Linked DNA regions of Ovis aries. The protein of the gene in region 1 purifies or fractionates together with the protein of each later gene. This does not show direct contact. Links are inferred from orthologs where the notes say so. Each region holds a gene or a part of one and is shown in the gene's direction. Other genes may lie near its edges. The genes, in order: CSTF2, CSTF3, CPSF2 and SYMPK.

What was found.
Region 2: the proteins of CSTF2 (region 1) and CSTF3 fractionate together in Homo sapiens (co-fractionation; 4 studies listed by BioGRID and IntAct, with this or other methods). This does not show direct contact. The link is inferred for Ovis aries from reciprocal best matches to the Homo sapiens genes CSTF2 and CSTF3.
Region 3: the proteins of CSTF2 (region 1) and CPSF2 purify together in Homo sapiens (affinity purification with western blotting; 3 studies listed by BioGRID and IntAct, with this or other methods). This does not show direct contact. The link is inferred for Ovis aries from reciprocal best matches to the Homo sapiens genes CSTF2 and CPSF2.
Region 4: the proteins of CSTF2 (region 1) and SYMPK purify together in Homo sapiens (affinity purification with mass spectrometry; 4 studies listed by BioGRID and IntAct, with this or other methods). This does not show direct contact. The link is inferred for Ovis aries from reciprocal best matches to the Homo sapiens genes CSTF2 and SYMPK.

The regions. Positions count from the first base shown.
Region 1 is NC_056080.1:132,554,160-132,558,572, forward strand, and holds part of CSTF2 (cleavage stimulation factor subunit 2), read left to right. Parts: intron 1-1,811; coding exon 1,812-1,935; intron 1,936-4,413. UniProt on the Homo sapiens protein: One of the multiple factors required for polyadenylation and 3'-end cleavage of mammalian pre-mRNAs. This subunit is directly involved in the binding to pre-mRNAs.
Region 2 is NC_056068.1:62,534,828-62,539,240, reverse strand, and holds part of CSTF3 (cleavage stimulation factor subunit 3), read left to right. Parts: intron 1-888; coding exon 889-1,084; intron 1,085-3,141; coding exon 3,142-3,295; intron 3,296-4,011; coding exon 4,012-4,106; intron 4,107-4,254; coding exon 4,255-4,315; intron 4,316-4,413. UniProt on the Homo sapiens protein: One of the multiple factors required for polyadenylation and 3'-end cleavage of mammalian pre-mRNAs.
Region 3 is NC_056071.1:54,629,783-54,634,195, forward strand, and holds part of CPSF2 (cleavage and polyadenylation specificity factor subunit 2), read left to right. Parts: intron 1-2,404; 5' UTR 2,405-2,437; coding exon 2,438-2,586; intron 2,587-3,666; coding exon 3,667-3,826; intron 3,827-3,917; coding exon 3,918-4,023; intron 4,024-4,413. UniProt on the Homo sapiens protein: Component of the cleavage and polyadenylation specificity factor (CPSF) complex that play a key role in pre-mRNA 3'-end formation, recognizing the AAUAAA signal sequence and interacting with poly(A) polymerase and other factors to bring about cleavage and poly(A) addition.
Region 4 is NC_056067.1:53,165,028-53,169,440, reverse strand, and holds part of SYMPK (symplekin), read left to right. Parts: intron 1-1,569; coding exon 1,570-1,696; intron 1,697-2,320; coding exon 2,321-2,570; intron 2,571-3,889; coding exon 3,890-4,060; intron 4,061-4,413. UniProt on the Homo sapiens protein: Scaffold protein that functions as a component of a multimolecular complex involved in histone mRNA 3'-end processing. Specific component of the tight junction (TJ) plaque, but might not be an exclusively junctional component. May have a house-keeping rule.

The DNA.
Region 1 (4,413 bases):
CAACGACGAAAAAGACCTCAAATAAATTAGTAAGAAATTTGCCAGTAACCCAGTAGAAAACTATGCAATGGACATGAACTGTTCATAAGGATAGAAATGCAGATATATATTAAATGTGTGAAAACTGTTCAACTTCAAAACAAGATAAATATGAATGAAATACAATAAGCTACCATTTTTCACCTGTTAGATTGGCAGAGGTAAACAACTTGGATGACTCATACAAAGGTTTATGGTAAGGGTCAGCAAACATCTTCTAAATGGCCAGATAGTAAATTTGGGGGCAGCTTTGCAGGCCATGGGATCTGTCTTGATTACCCAACTCTGCCATTGGAGTATGAAATGAACCACAGGGAATACGTAAACAAATGTGCATGATTGTGTTCTGGTAAAACTTTATCTATGAAACCAAGCAGTGAGCCAAATTTGGCCCCATGGGTCATAGTTTACCAACCTGTGCTCTGATTCAGTAAATGCAGAAATAAATTAAGATCCAGAGAGGTTAACTGCTCCAAAAATAACAATCTAAGTGGCAAATCCAGGATCTGAACCTGGTTCTATCTGTCCTCATAGCCTGTTTTCTCTTAACCACCTCACTATACAGTTTTCTTTTTTCTGTTCTAGAGTTTCGTGTGTGTTCTCTGAGACCATGTGATTTTTAAAATATTTGTATCCTTTAGTTTTATTCTGTATTTATTGAGCTCTTTCTATTCCAAGGGACTCCTCAGTTCTCTTGGAAATACACAGATGAAAACATAACATTCCCTTTCCCTCCAGGAGCTTTAATGTAGCATTAAATTGTTTTGTTTTTTACATTCCCTTCGAATAAGAATTGTATCTAAGGAAAGTGATGAGAAAAGAATGGTCAAAAAATTTTTTTCACCTTAAAAATATAGACTGCAAACAGTTCTGTTTTTAAAAGGAAAAAGTCCTAAATTCTTTCCTCTTCGTTTCAAGGCACTTATAAAAAAAAAAAAAAAAAAAAAAAACCTCTTACTGCCAGGCCCTGGTCTTGAAGTTGACAATAGGTGCTATATATGGCCTTGGAAGAAAAGTTAGGACAAACCTAGACAGCGTATTAAAAAGCAGAGATATTATTTTGCCAACAAAGGTCCATCTAGTCAAAGCTATGGTTTTTCCAGTAGTCATGTATGGATGTGAGAGTTGGACCCTAAAGAAAGCTGAGTGCCAAAGAATTGATGCTTTTGAACTGTGGTATTGGAGAAGACTCTTGAGAGTCCCTTGGACTACAAGAAGATCAAACCAGTCAATCCTAAAGGAAATCAATCCTGAATATTCATTGGAAGGACTGATTCTAAAGCTCCAATACTTTAGCCACCTGATGCGAAGAGCTGACTCATTAGAAAAGACCCTGATGCTGGGAAAGATTGAAGGCGGGAGAAGGGGATGACAGAGGATGAGAGGGTTGGATGGTATCACTGACTCAATGGACATGAGTTTGAGCACACTCTGGGAAGTGATGAAGGACAGGGGAGCCTGGTGTGCTGTAGTCCATGGAGTCACAAAGAGTTGGACACAGCTGAGCCACTGAACAACAAAATGGCCTCACTGCACAGACAAGACTTGTGTATCTCTACTTTTAGAATATGTTTTCTCTCAGTCATGTTCTGTGTAACCAGGTTCATTGTATGTATTGCAACTTCTATTCAAAGTGTTATAAATCTAATGTTGCATTAGACATGCTGTAAGAAAAGGGTATTTGGTAGAATATTTGGTGCTGTCCATTTGAAGACTTTGCATGTTGAATCTCCACAGAGGCATATACATACTCTGGTTTTTCTCTTGGTCAGAGTGGAATGCATGTCAATGGTGCGCCTCCTCTGATGCAAGCTTCCCTGCAGGCTGGAGTTGCAGCACCAGGGCAGATACCAGCCACTGTAACAGGACCTGGCCCTGGTTCCTTAGCTCCTGGAGGTATGTTTTCATTTAGAGTCTTTGCCATTTTGGTGTTTTGCTAGTGTTTTGTTACGGAGAAGGCAGTGGCACCCCACTCCAGTACTCTTGCCTGGAAAATCCCATGGACGGAGGAGCCTGGTAGGCTGCAGTCCATGGGGTCGCTAAGAGTTGACACGACTGAGCAACTTCACTTTCACTTTTCACTTTCATGCATTGGAGAAGGAAATGGCATCCCACTCCAGTGTTCTTGCCTGGAGAATCCCAGGGATGGGGGAGCCTGGTGAGCTGCCGTCTCTGGGGTCGCACAGAGTCGGACATGACTGAAGCTACTTAGCAGCAGTGTTTTGTTATAGCAAATGGCCTAGTATATAGCAAAATTATGATGTGGCAACGAGATCTTGATACTAATGTGTAGCTAGGCAGTATATATCCTAGGTGGAACAAATAGTTGATTTATTGTATACAAATTTACATGTCTGATTATGAGAGCAAGGCAAAGAATGACAAAATTCCTAGTTAATGAGGGGAAAAATAGAATGAATGGAAACTAGACCAAATCAACAAATACAGAGAAAAGGAAACGACATTGTGAAGTTATGATAATAAACATAGAGTTAAGGTGGAAGGAATAAAGTCTCATGTAGTCATTCTGCTAAATGTGAATGGACTCAGTTCTCCCACTAAAAGCTAGAGACTGTTAGGTTAGGTTAAAAAGTACATGGGTTGGGTGGGGGGCAATAAACAAAAACAAAATGCCTGGTGTTGTTACCATTATGTTTAACAAACGTAACACTGTATTTCATGAACTATAGTGAGACAACAACAAGAGGAAAAAAGAATTTTAAAAACTAATATGTTCACTAAAATTGTGTATGTAGGAATTAATATTACACTTACAGCTTTTCATCATTCAGTAACCATAACTAAAAATGTTATGGGTGGAATAGTGATTCCTCATGTGAAACACCTGTGTGAACATATGACATGTATTTAAAGTTTTTTATGCAACAAACTCACTTGTTATTTTATCTAATCTGGCTTAGATTAACTGCAACACAACTAATAGGTGATAATTTGGATTTAAATTTTTCTGCTTTATAAAGAAACCAGTCTAAAGATCTTAAGTTGACAGGGAATGGGAGAAGGGATTTTTTTTTTTTCAGTTTAATTGGAGACTAATTACTTTACAGTATTGTAGTATTTTTTGCCATACACTGACATGAATCAGCCACAGGCGCACATGTGTTCCCCATCCAGAACCCCCCTCCCCATCCCATCCCCCAGGGTCATCCCAGTGCATCAGCCCTGAGCACCTTGTCTCAGGCATCAAACCTGAACTGGCAGTCTGCTTCACATATGATAATATACACGTTTCAATGCTACCCTCTCAAATCATCCCACCCTCACCGTCTCCCACAGAGTCCAAAAGACTGTTTTTCACATCTGTGTCTCTTTTGCAGTCTCGCATATAGGGACATCGTTACCATCTTTCTAAATTCCATATATATGCATTAGTATGCTGTATTGGTGTTTTTCTTTCTGACCTACTTCACTCTATAATAGGCTCCAGTTTCATCCACCTCATTAGGACTGATTGAAATGCATTCTTTTTAATGGTCGAGTAATATTCCATTGTGTATATGTACCACAGCTTTCTTATCCATTCATTTGCTGATGGATATCTAGGTTGCTTCCATTCCTAGCTATTGTAAACAGTGCTGTGATGAACATTGGGGTACACATGTCTCTTTCAATTCTGCTTTTCTCGGTGTGTATGTCCAGCAGTGGGATTGCTGGGTCATATGGCAGTTCTATTTCCAGTTTTTTTAGGAATCTCCATACTGTTCTCCATAGTGGCTGTACTAGTTTGCATTCCCACCAACAGTGTAAGAGGGTTCCCTTTTCTCCACACCCTCTCCAGCATTTATTATTTGTAGATTTTGGATAGAGGCCATTCTGACTGGTGTGAGATGGTACCTCACTGTGGTTTTGATTTGCAGTTCTCTGGTAATGAGTGATGTTGAGCATCTTTCCATGTGTTTGTTATCCATCGGTCTGTCTTTGGAGAAATATCTGTTTAGTTCTTTGGCCCATTTTTTGATTGGGTCATTTATTTTTCTGGAATTGAGTTTCAGGAGCTGCTTGTATAATTTTGAGATTAAATTCTTTGTCAGTTGCTTCATTTGCTATTATTTTCTCCCATTCTGAAGGCTGTCTTTTCACCTTGCTTATAGTTTCCTCCATTGTGCAAAAGCTTTTAAGTTTAATTAGGTCCCATTTGTTTTATTTTTGCTTTTATTTCCATTAGTCTGGGAGGTGGGTCATAGAGGATCCTGCTGTGATTTCTGTCAGAGAGTGTTTTGCCTATGTTTTCCGTGTTTTATATATTTTCTTGTGTTATAGGTTCCTAGCTAATCTTAAAATATCACAGGTTGTATGTAACGTGGTCCTAGTACACATGGCAAGTGTGCAACTTGTGACATGCAACTCATTACT
Region 2 (4,413 bases), on another chromosome or scaffold:
ACTCAGTCATACCAGAGGGACACATGGTACAGTGGCACAGTGAGAGCAGTAAGGCTTTGGAGTCTTGGGTTCAAATTCCAGCTCAGTCAGCTATACCTTGGGCAGGTTTCCTGACTTTCCCAATTCTTACTTTCTTGTTGAGTAGCAATAATGTCTCCCAGTATAGAAGTTTCGTGATAGTCCCCTACCTAGCATAAAATAGGAAGTCACTGTATTACTTTAGTACAGAGGTGCTTACTGACATTTTAAGTAGAGTCTCAGAGAATTAATTTTGGCTGTTAAAACAGTGGTGAGGCACTAATTTGTCCCCAGTGATCCCTATTAATGGGAAAAAATAGAGAACAATCATGTTAGATTTTGAAATATATTTTTATTCATACATTGTACAAAGAATGTATTCTACATTTTAATTCATACCACTACAAAATGGTGAAGTCATATCATTCAGGAGTAATTGGAAATCTAGGTTCCTTTTCAACTCTTCCCCACCTAGAGTTAGTTTACTGTCTCTAGGATAAATGTCTCATTGACCACAAATGATAGGAAGTAGGCTAAATAAGAAAAAACTAAAAAAACAAAAAACAAAAACACGTTAAATATGAAAGTATTTAGGGTGAAAGGTTATGATGACTATAATTCACTTTCAGATACTTAAGTGAAAACATGGGGAAGCAAATGTAGCAAAATATTAATGATGACTGAATCTAGGTAATGGAATATAGGTACTCATTATACTACTCTATGTTTGGAAGTTTAGAAATCTTTGTAATAAAAAAAAAATAGATTCTTATAATTTTAAAAAGGGGAAGGAAGGGGAAGGAACTGGAAGATTTTTGTAAGTCCCAAACCCAGGATAGTGAAGTATTGATTATATTTATTTTCTTACAGAGAAATCTGGGCCCGATTTCTAGCTTTTGAAAGTAATATCGGTGATCTAGCTAGCATACTCAAAGTGGAGAAAAGACGGTTTACAGCATTCAAAGAAGAGTATGAAGGCAAAGAAACAGCTTTACTGGTAGACAGATACAAGTTCATGGATTTATATCCTTGCTCTGCAAGTGAACTAAAAGCACTTGGGTATAAGGTATGTACTTGGGCTCACGATGTGTGTGATGTCTTTACTTTCCCAATGTTTTAGAATAGTTCATGGACAAATTTTAAAGTAAATTCCGAAATTGAAATTAGTCTAGTTTTAGAATAGATTTGCAGAATACAAAAAGTTCAGGGATTTTCCTTGGGTTTGTGAAATATTATCAACAGTAATGAACAAAATGAGAATTAAAATGAGATTTAACAAACTTTATTCTTTCCTTGAAATTGTCAATGCCTTATTTCTTACATTTTGTGGGCAGGTGGAAAATCTGAATGTCACTTAGGTTAGTTTTTCTCTAACAGTTCTTAAAACTGAGGAGTGTGTTTTGACAGGAGATCTTAAACCAAATGTAATTCCTGATATTTATGTTGTAGATATAATGAAGAAACTTTATAGCTTGGTAAATCCATAAATTTCTTTGAAGTGTTTATATCTTGAAACAGGGCTCCTTCAGTGGAGGCCTTTAGGAAATTATTTCATCAGCCAAAAATTTCGTTCCATTTCTGGAACAAAACTGGAACAAACTTTTTCGTCAACTCAACAGCTTATCTAGGAATGGAACTCCTCTATTTGGACTTCTGCACCATTAAGAAAACAGATCTGGGACCTGAACTTATTCAGGCCAAAAGGAAAGATTAATAGCCTGGAAATAGCCCTTGGTGAGAAAACAATTGCTCTATCATTGCCTGGTTTTTCTGTGTCAGGTGAACAAAGACCAGATGAAAATCCAAGGGGAAGCGATATCCACATGAGTCCTGGATTGATTGGTCTCCTTAAGCCAGCCAGCTAGGATGTTCTCACCATCATTCTTCATTTCCTCACTGCCCTCTTTTAGCCTGAGTCTCACTGGTCTTGTGTCTGAACCAGATTAAAATAAACTTCAGACCTTTTCATTAATGGAAGCTCCAGTTGTATGCCAGCCCCATATTCCTATTCTGAACTAGGGTTACTGCTCAAGGTTGAGGGGATTCTGCTCCTGGTTTAACAAATTCTTAATGAAAAGCCAAAGGCATTTTTAAGACTGTTTTGTGGAATCTTTAGACTATTTCAACTTTGCCAAGTTGAAAATGGAAATTAAGGAAGTTAATGAAAATATCTTCATGAATTTTCCATCTTGTATTTCTGTTTATATTCTGTGTATTTGGGAAGGATCATTATGCTTTTGTGTGTGGCACATAAGTGAGAGTGGGAAAGAGAGGAATAAAAGCAATTCTCAGTGGGTGTCCTCATTTAGATTTGCCACCAACTGCATAAGAGCAAGTTTTGAGAACATGAAATTCTCTTATATCCCTTGATGCTGGCAAAAGAGGCTCTCTCAGAGTTGCCCTCAGCCCTGGCAGGCATTGCTGGGACACTGAGAAGAAGACAGAATGGGTGAGGTCAGAGAGGCCCGTGCTCTCAGCTCCTCTGTCTGCCTCCTAGCCATTTAACCTTGGAGATAGCAGAACCTCTTTGAGCGTTAGTCCCTTCTGTAAAATGGAGGTGATCCTATCTACCTCCTCAAAGAGTGAATGAACGGCAAAAATTGACAAATGTGGTTACTCAACAAACATTCCTTCTCCCCTCTAACAGTATGTTGGGAATAATTTTTCATTTCATTAGCAAAATCTTATGAACTAACGTTAAGTGATAAGCTTTGTTAGGTTTCATGAAAGAGCACCTTACTTAATCAGCTTCTTCACTTAGAGAACTTGATGGATGATGTTCAGTTTTAGTGGAAAGGAGATATCAGAAAATATCTAAAACTGCAGATTTTCTTCCAAATTACCCCACCTCTACCTGGTATCTATTACCTACCAGGTATATATATCTACCCGGTATGTATTACCTACAAAAGGATCCTACAGATGTCCCACCTGGTGACACTGAGTCTAATGACTCTTTACATTTGTCAGTCTTCACTGTCATGGAAGTTCTTGCTTTTCTTTCTCCATTCTCGCTATGGTTTTAACCGAGTTATTTAGTGTATCCTCAGGAGTGTAGAATTGCACAGTTCTACTCTTAAGTCCCTTTTTCAGGTTTAGGATTCTTCTGTTCTGCATTTTCAGGATGTCTCCCGTGCTAAGCTAGCAGCTATAATTCCAGACCCAGTTGTAGCTCCTTCTATAGTGCCTGTTCTGAAAGATGAAGTGGATAGAAAACCAGAATACCCTAAACCAGACACTCAGCAGATGATTCCATTTCAGCCACGACATTTAGCACGTAAGCCATGACTTTAGATCCAGTACTGAGACCTCAGTTTGTTTGTTGGTTTAATCCAGAGGTGTGTGGGGGTTGGAGGGGGCAAATTAATGTGACCTTTCCATTATAGGTTAATAATTAGACTCAGGGTCAATAATGACAAGTGATTTGGCTATAATCTTTGAATCAAGATGAGTTTAAAATGTCTTAAACAAAAAACTTCACTGATCCAGATTGCAGTAATGCATTTGGCAGTGATACGTAAGAGAGTTTTCTGAAATGCCACTACATACAGGTTACCTGCACAGCTGGAAGCTTACTTTGGTGATATTTGGTATTGTTTATACTTACTAATATGTAGTAGTCTCTGAATTCTATTTGAACAAGGCCCTTACAATGACAGATGTTACTGTATAACTGACTTTATGGGCTTGCTGAAAAAATGACTTGTGAGGCTTAGACATGATCTTTGACAAAAACTGACTAACTCAGGTTCTGGGTCATCTTATGCACAGTCACTTGTTTACTTTTCTGCCCCTCAGTGGCCATGAGGTTGAGACTGCATTCACTGTCTCACCCACTTGAGTTTGGTCAAACATATAAAACACTAAAAACATTTTAAGGTGTCCAGAACAAAGACTTTTTGTACATAGTAATTTATGTACAAATTACTTATGTTAGTTATTACATGTATAGACATTTCTTCCGCCCCATTCCTATATTCCTTTCTCTTACAGCTCCAGGCTTACACCCTGTCCCTGGTGGAGTGTTCCCAGTGCCACCTGCAGCAGTTGTTTTAATGAAACTTCTCCCTCCTCCTATTTGTTTCCAGGTTTGTTCACCATTTTCATGACAGATATTTGCTCTACGGGTAAATGTAGTAATTATGTACTTTTTCTCTTTTATCATGGTAAATACAAAGTGGGGCTATTTTAACTCATCAGATTACTGGGGATTAAGTTTTCTTTGTGTCAAAATAGGGTCCTTTTGTACAAGTGGATGAACTAATGGAAATTTTCCGAAGATGCAAGATACCAAATAGTAAGTGATGAGGCTCCATTTTTAGAGTGGAATTCACATTATTGTCTCCAAGATAGGAGAGATCGCCACTGAAGTTTCCAAAACCAGCTAGCCACCTT
Region 3 (4,413 bases), on another chromosome or scaffold:
AATAATCATGATGGCTCGTGGATCCATATAACATGAGTGAAGACAGGAGATGGTCATGGACAGTGAAAAAGTAGTCAGTAAATTAGAGATACAGTGAGGCCAAAGGGTTTTTGCAGTGGGAATTCTAGAGTAGGGAAGGTGGGAGTGAGATGGGGAGATCGTTGAAAGTGAAGTTTGGAAAGTGCTGCAGTCATGATAAGGTCGTGATAAGGTCATGGTTTTGACTGTGGTGCCGGGTGGCTGAAGTGAAAAGACTATTGGAGTTGAGAAAGTCAAGAAGAGAAGAGGTCAGTAATGAAGCTACTCAGAGGAAGACTGAGTCAGGAACTAAAGTCCTCCATTAACGAGGAAGGACAGGAAAGGCTACGGCGAGCTGGCTGGGCAGCATGAGTTCAGCGGGACTCGAGTGTTTCCAGGAGGAAGGAGAAGACATGCACTGGAGGCTGCGGTGATGAACAGGGAGCACATGCTTCCTGCCTTTGAGGTCAGGGAATCCAGGAGATATAAGGCCTCTTGAGAAGGCTGGAGGAGACACAGAATCATTTGAGGAGAGCTAGGTTTCTGTGAAGATTTGCGGATGAGGAAAACCTTCAGAGAAGAGGGTGAAGTTCTCGGTGAGTGTAATGGTTCCAGAGGGAATACTGAAAGGATTTGGAAGGCAGAAGAGGTAATGAATTGGTCCCGCTAGGTGGACTTCGGTGATGATGGACAACCTCAGAGTCTTGGGTCTTTGGCTGTGACCGAAGTAAACAAGGATGGAAGATGTGGTGACAGTCTGTTAAGAAAGCTGGGCAATTTACCTTAATTTGTTGATATGACCTTGGGCAGATGTTGAAGGATCATCAGCTGTGCAATGACCTCTCTGTTTTTTTCACATAATAATAATTTTAATAATAGATGCTATAGAGCAACATTAACAGTAATGAAAAGGCACATTAATTAGAGGGAGGTCTAATAACTTAGAAAACTTTTGAATCTTTCAACATCCCCTTTTCTTCTAAGCACTCTAAGGATACATAACTGTGAATGAATAATTCTCTAACTTGCATAGTTAACCAGAAAAGGCAAATTTATTTTAAGAACCTAAGATCTGAAATCTTGCTGTGGAGTTGTGCTTTGCTAATGAATGTTTTTAATAACGTCTATATCAGTTCAGTTCAGTCCCTCAGTCGTGTCCGACTCTTTGTGACCCCGTGAATCGCAGCACGCCAGGCCTCCCTGTCCATCACCAACTCCCGGAGTTCACTCAGACTCACGTCCATCGAGTCCGTGATGCCATCCAGCCATCTCATCCTCTGTCGTCCCCTTCTCCTCCTGCCCCCAATCCCTCCCAACATCAGAGTCTTTTCCAATGAGTCAACTCTTCTCATGAGGTGGCCAAAGTACTGGAGCTTCAGCTTTAGCATCATTCCTTCCAAAGAAATCCCAGGGCTGATCTCCTTTAGAATGGACTGGTTGGATCTCCTTGCAGTCCAAGGGACTCTTAAGAGTCTTCTCCAACACCACAGTTCAAAAGCATCAATTCTACGGCACTCAGCCTTCTTCACAGTCCAACTCTCACATCCATACATGACCACAGGAAACATCTATATAGTAGCACACAATTCTAGGTCCTAAATCCCAATAGATGTTTTCATGTTGTATCTTCTTGAAATACATAGTAAGTATCCCAACTGTATGCCATCAGATATGTCTTGAACACCTGCTATATGTCAGAATCTCTTCAGGAAGTACAAACTATAAGGTACTACAATTGTTTATCAGTTGCTCATGTTCCAGTGCAAGGCTTCTTAACAAAATTCCCTGAAAAATATGTGAATTGCTACATGTATATGGACCTTTTTGTTTTTTTAAGGACTGAGGGGAGCAGGAAAGATCCATAGCTTTTATCACATTGTCAAGCGGTCCTTTATTTAAGGACGACTGGTTTAGTAATAGAGAAAGACACATAAACTAATAACAGTGTAATGCAGTGTAATCACTGCCATCTCAGAGCAAAATAAACGAGGAGCAAATTCACCTTGAAGAATAAGTTTGCTAGTTTAGTATACTACATTTATTTATTGAGAAACTTGCTGGTCTCCCTTCTAGGTAATTTATACATCATTTGAAATCTTCTAACATCCTTTTAATGTATATATTAATATTCATATTTTATAGGATACATAAGTGAGGGAAAATTTAACTAACCTGCTCAGAACCATATAAGTATAGATTCAAATACAGGTCAGTCTGATTCCAAAACCTACTACTTTTCATCAACCACAATGGGGGGCCACTGAAGGACTCTATATACAGGAGGGTGTAAGATTATGTTTGTACCTTCACACTTAACAATGATGGAAATAGGTCTTTAAAATGACTCTGCTTTTATGTTTAACTATGTTTTTATTTCTGTTGAAAGAACCTTTTGGATTGTTGTTGTTGGACCGAAAAAATGACATCTATTATCAAATTAACTACCCTTTCTGGGGTCCAAGAAGAATCTGCTCTTTGCTATCTTCTCCAAGTCGACGAGTTTAGATTTTTATTGGACTGTGGCTGGGATGAGCACTTTTCTATGGATATTATAGATTCCCTGAGGAAGTAAGTTACTGTTAATATTTCTACACTTTTAATAAATCAACTTCTCTTTTCTATGCTGTAATACTATTTTGATGTTACACAGTCTTTGCTGTTTTGCTCTAATTTAGTTGAGAGTAAAACAGTTTCATTTAAACTGAAGAACCAAAAAATGACTTTTTATTTGCGTAGTTTTGATTGACTTGTAAGCTGTGTTTATTGAATGTCACCAAAATCTTAAGTTAATTGTTACTTGATCAATGGATCTCAATAGAAATTTTTGCACCCTAATTTTAGAAAAGAGCAAAATTAAATTTATAAGAATTTGAAGAGAGGAAAACTGTACTTGTAAAAGTTCTGGAGTCAGATCAGATTAGCTTATTTTCTTTTAATCTTTTGATGCTTAGACATTTGAGAATTGGTGCTTAGAATAAAGCCCATGGGATTCAAAAGGATCTAATCCATCAAAGAAAAACTTAGTTGTGTTAGCAGTATTGTACTAATTATGGAATGCATGAGAACTTAAATATTGAAAAAACTGAATAAGAACTTATAGCAAAAAATTTTTTTGTTTCTTTTGTTAATGAGAATATATTATTCATTGACTAAAGTTACACTATCATGAATATACTGTCAGTCATTATGCTAAAAAGCTGAGACAAAAATCCATAATAAATATGTGGCCTTTTAAATGTCCTTTTCTTAACAATTTCTTAAATGCTGAGTTCTTGAACTTTAATAGTATATGAGATAGCCTCTTGAAATCAGTTTATAGGTGGTGTCTACTGTTTTCCTTCCTTTTTTGAAAAAACATGTCTAGACACTATATATTTACGTGCAACTCATACCAGTTTTGATCTCTGTGTAGGACAGGGGTAGTACTAATTGAAATTCATAGGTGACGTAATTTTAGCTCTCAGTTGAGCATGGGTTCTCAGAGTCGGACATGACTGAGTGATTTCACTTTCGCTTTCACTCTTTTACCCCATCATAGTCTTCAGCTCAGAATACTGAGAGGAATCAGAACCGGCAAATTAATTTTGAGTATCCTGCCTGTTCCTTTAGGAACAAGACTCAGTAATAGTCGTCTTGCTTGTGTCCTAGGCACGTTCACCAGATCGATGCGGTCTTGTTGTCTCATCCCGACCCCCTCCATCTTGGCGCCCTCCCCTATGCTGTTGGAAAGTTGGGTCTGAACTGTGCCATCTATGCAACCATTCCCGTTTATAAAATGGGACAGATGTTCATGTATGACCTTTATCAGGTAATTTAAGCAATTTAAAAAAAAAAACCTGTTTTAACACCCCTGCAGTGATCATTTTTAACCTTTTATTTGTATTATTTTTTTTTTTTAGTCCCGACACAATACAGAAGATTTTACACTCTTTACCCTAGATGATGTGGATGCAGCCTTTGATAAGATACAACAGTTAAAATTCTCTCAGATTGTGAATTTGAAAGGTAAAACATGTTTCCAGTGGCAAATAATTGGGCAAATGGTGTTTGAACTACTGAAAAGTACAAGGGAAATTTGTAGTAAAAAATTATAGGCACTGTTGTCTGAAGAATAAAAAAATAGCATTTTTTTTCAGAGGGAACTGTGAACTTCCCCCAAATCATCTGAATTTTAAAATATTCCAGGCTAAATTTTAATAAAATGTAACAGCTCAGGCCTCCTTTTCACATTTAATTTAGGAAGACTTACTTTGTGATTACTGTATATAATGCGCAAAGGTAACATGGTCAGGTTCTCGTTCAAAGAGCTCACAGTGAGGTTGAGGAGAAAAAGTAGCTCAGATGACTAAACGGAGTGATGGAAGTAAATGAAGTGCTGTGGCAGCACAGAGTAGA
Region 4 (4,413 bases), on another chromosome or scaffold:
TAATAAGGTCCAAGTCTCAGACTCGTCCACTCTTCCTCTGCTTCTTTGACACTTCACATCTACATCATCAGTAAGGACTGCCGACTCTGCCTCCAGACTGTAAACAACATCCGACCATTTTTCAACCATTTCCCCTTGCTGTACCAAACATTTTTTATTCAATCCTCACACATGGGATTCTTTGTTTGGCCCATTTAACTGAAGAGAAAACTATGAATCAGAGAGGTGAAGTGAGTTTCTTAAGGTCACACAGCCAGTATGTGGCAGTGCTGGGATTTTAACCCATGTCCATAACACCATTGCCCAGATGCTCAATCTCCCATCTTTTACTGGGAGAGTTTTTTTTGTCCAATTGAGGTATACTTGATTTATAGTAACATATTAGTTTCAGATATACAACATGGTGATTCAAATTTTTTATAGATTATATTCCACTCAGCTATTGTAAAATATTGACTATATTCTCTGAGCTGTACAATATATCCTTGAAGTTTATCTATTTTGTATGAGGTAGCTTGTACCTCTTAATCCCCCTCCCCCATCTTGCCCCTCCCCCATTCCCTCTCCTCACTGATAAACGCTAATTTTGTCTTTTTTTTAACATGTTAGCATATATAGCACTTTTGATTTTTAAAAATTTAACTGTTTTTCCAAACAAGCAAAAAAAAGTGATATTTTTTTGAGGTATAGTTGATTTATAATATATTAATTTCAGGTAAGTAACATAGTATTTCAGAATTTTCATAGATTACTGGGACAATCTGTGGTATGTTTTCTGAGTTTGCCAAAACACTTTTTGTTCCAGATATGTATCACATGACTGCTATGTGCCAGGCATTTGTGTCAGGCTATAGAAATAGAACTGGATAAAAACAGATATTGTTTCTGCCTTCATGTAGCTGATGGTTGAGTTTCATATTTTTTGACTGATTAGCTTAATATTTAACATAAAATTGTAACGTGATGTAAAAATTCACATTCTGAGCTCTGGGTATAGCCTTGAATTTATTCATTCACTGAACAAATATTTATTGAAGGCCTTTTCATTCTTTCCTTCAACAAAAAATGAGAATCTGCTAGTACTCGGATGGGAAAGAATCCCCTACTTTCAGAGCCCTCCATCTTAGGTAAACAAATTAGTAAACAGAACTCATGATTACATAAGACAGAGTGCTTTAAAATATTAATGACTAATATTTGTTGAATGCTTTCTTATACCCTTCTAAGAGCTTTACATGTATTGTTGCAGTTTTCACAACAGGCCTCCAGGCCTATTCAAAATGAGACAAAGGTGCTTGTTCAGATTCACACCCGTGGTCTGGCACTGCTGCCTCTTAGGTGAACTGTGGGCCCTAATAGCACGAGAGAGTGGGCGTTGCAGGACCAACCTAGACCACGGTCGAGTTCACCTATGTCCGAAGGTACCAGATGCTGGCAGACACGACGGGTGCCTATCTGCCTTCCAGTCTTCTGACACACTGGCCCTGATTTCCCTTTCCTGGCAGGCCGCAGGCTCCCATCACCTGTACAAAGGCTACCTTGACCTTGCCTTTCTTCTTCCATCCCCAGCAAGCGAGACATTGAGCTGCTGCTGAAACTGATCGCGAACCTCAACATGCTGTTGAGGGATGAGAATGTGAATGTGGTGAAGAAGGCCATCCTCACCATGACCCAGCTCTACAAGGTGGCCCTGCAGGTAGGGGCTCCCTGCCCGCCTGGGGTTGCCCCAGCCTGACAGGCCTCATTCGCCTCTTAGAGCCCACAACCAGCGTCATATCCCGTCTTCCGAGGTCAAGATGTGCTGTCGATCTTTAGGGACAGACAACGAGGGGCTCTGAGTTCTAAAGGCCCAGGAGTTGCCATTAACCCATCTTTCCCTGCATCCATCCATCCATTTATGCATTCCGCAAACGGTCCCTGAGAACCAGGTCTTGTGACCAAATGGGCCAGCTGGGTCCACACTGTGGTGCGATGTACATTAACATTATTGAGAGGAAGAAATCCATTTACTCTCTTGCCACCACCTTGAGAGGTCGGCATTGTTGTTCCTTTGGCCTCTTTAAGATCTGAGCCTCCAACACTCAGCCTTGTCACTACCTCTGAACCTTATGAGGGCAGGACCAGGCCTGGCGTGGTCACCACTGGGTCCTGTCCCCCGCATCACCTAGCCCAGGGCCAGGGACGGAGTTGTAATTCAGTGAACATGTCCCCAGTGAATGTATTTATCATCGTTGATGGATCTCTGAGTTGTGGTGGAGTTGGTGATTGGTGTCTTGTCCCCATCTGCCTGTCTGTCTGCCCCTCCCCGGCCCACACACAGTGGATGGTGAAGTCACGGGTGATCAGTGAGCTCCAGGAGGCCTGCTGGGATATGGTGTCGGCCATGGCTGGGGACATCATCCTGCTGCTGGACTCTGACAACGACGGCATCCGTACCCATGCCATCAAGTTCGTGGAGGGCCTCATCGTCACCCTCTCGCCCCGCATGGCCGACTCGGAGGTGCCCCGACGCCAGGAGCACGACATCAGCCTGGACCGCATCCCTCGTGACCACCCCTACATCCAGTACAGTGAGTGCCCCGTCAGCTGCTCCCATTGGCCTGGCACTGCACCAGCTCCCTCCTCTTCCTTCCCCCTTTCCCCCTCTCTTCTTAGTTTTTCATTTCTGGAATCAGTTTAATACAGCCCTGATGCCACGTTCAGATCTCAGCGTTACCGCTCTTACTCACGTGAGCTGGGGCAAACTACTACTTTCTGAACTTTGTCTTGCTTTTGTAAAATGAAAGTGGTAATGGTACCCTTCCAGGCTTGTAGTGCTGTTCCATGAGAATGTGAGCACTCAGTAGTAAATACCAGCTGGTTACACAGTTTTTCTGATTGCAAACTATAAAAGTAGCACAGGCACGTTTTAGTGTCAGGCAATAAATACGGAGGAGTAGAAAGGGAAATTACTTCCTTCCCCGGTCCTGCTCCTCAGAGATGAATACCGCTAAGAGTATTGTTTCCTTTCGGACCTTTTCTCTGCAAAGACAGGTATTTATATGTGTGTGTTCATAGTTTCTGTGTTTGTTGGGTTTATTGTTTACAGAAAACAGGGCCATTCTTAATACTCCCAGCTGAGAGGCATGAAAGTGGAATGGCTTGTGTTTGAATCCCTGCTCTGCCTTTGAGCACCCGACCTGTTCTCTCTGAGCCTGTTTCTTCATTGGTAAATCTGGAGTCGTTACTATGGCATCTCCTTTAGGGTGTTAGTACGAGCTTTTTGGTGAGTTTATATGGCTGGCGTAGTAAGCGTTCCACAGATATTAGATGTTCTTCTGGATTGTTTGACCACGTTTTGAACTCAACAAAAATTAAGTTGCATCTTTTCCAAACAGTATCATGTTCAGATGTTACAAAATATTCCATTAGAATGCCTATATTACATTCTCTATTTTATTCACTGTTTTGTATAATGTCGGATCCAGTAGGTTTTTGCATGATAAATGTCAGGAAAGATACTTGCCACAGTTGTTTAGAGTTAACTTTTGGTGACTGGATCAAGGAACATGGTGGTTCAGAGAATTTCAAGTCCTTTATCTGTGTGTTGCCACATGTATACATATTCAGAGTTTTGCATCAGTGCAGTTCAGACAGATTCCTTATAGTTGGATATGTTAAATTATTTCTACTTTGTCAGTATTGCAAGCCCATGCTTTGAGCGTCATCTCTCGATTTTTATTAATAGTATTATAGTCAAACTCATCACGCACTAAATCTCCTGAGTTTTTTCAGCCAGTCACAGCCATCCATGTATGAGGATCTATCTCCTTTTGGTCCCAAAGACTGCTCTCTCTGGAGGCCAGGGAGAAAGCCCCCTACTAACTGGTCCTCTTCTCTCCCTTGTTAGATGTGCTGTGGGAAGAAGGCAAGGCAGCCTTGGAGCAGCTGCTCAAGTTCATGGTGCACCCTGCTATCTCCTCCATCAACCTGACCACAGCCCTGGGCTCCCTGGCCAATATTGCCCGCCAGAGGCCCATGTTCATGTCGGAGGTGATTCAGGCCTATGAAACCCTCCACGGTAGGTTGGTCCCCTCCCCTACTTCCCCTGTCCACAGACCAGTCTCCTCTTTTCTGAGAAAATGTGGGCTAAATATCAGGCCTCTGAAGCATTCATCATCGTCAATCTAGTAGGTTATGGACATAAGGAAGGATTCTCCAGATTAGACACATATCTATCAGTGATTGCAGGTGACAGAAACGTAGTTCAGAGCTGCTTTTAACACTGAGGTATGTGTGGGTGAAGTGACCTGGTGTCTTAAGTACTTCAAATACTTCAGCTCTTCCCCTGTCTCCCCTAAAAAAGCAGGAGGAGAGATGTGCCAAGATCAGCAAAATGTTGATGGCTACATGGTGATTCATTACCCTGGTCTC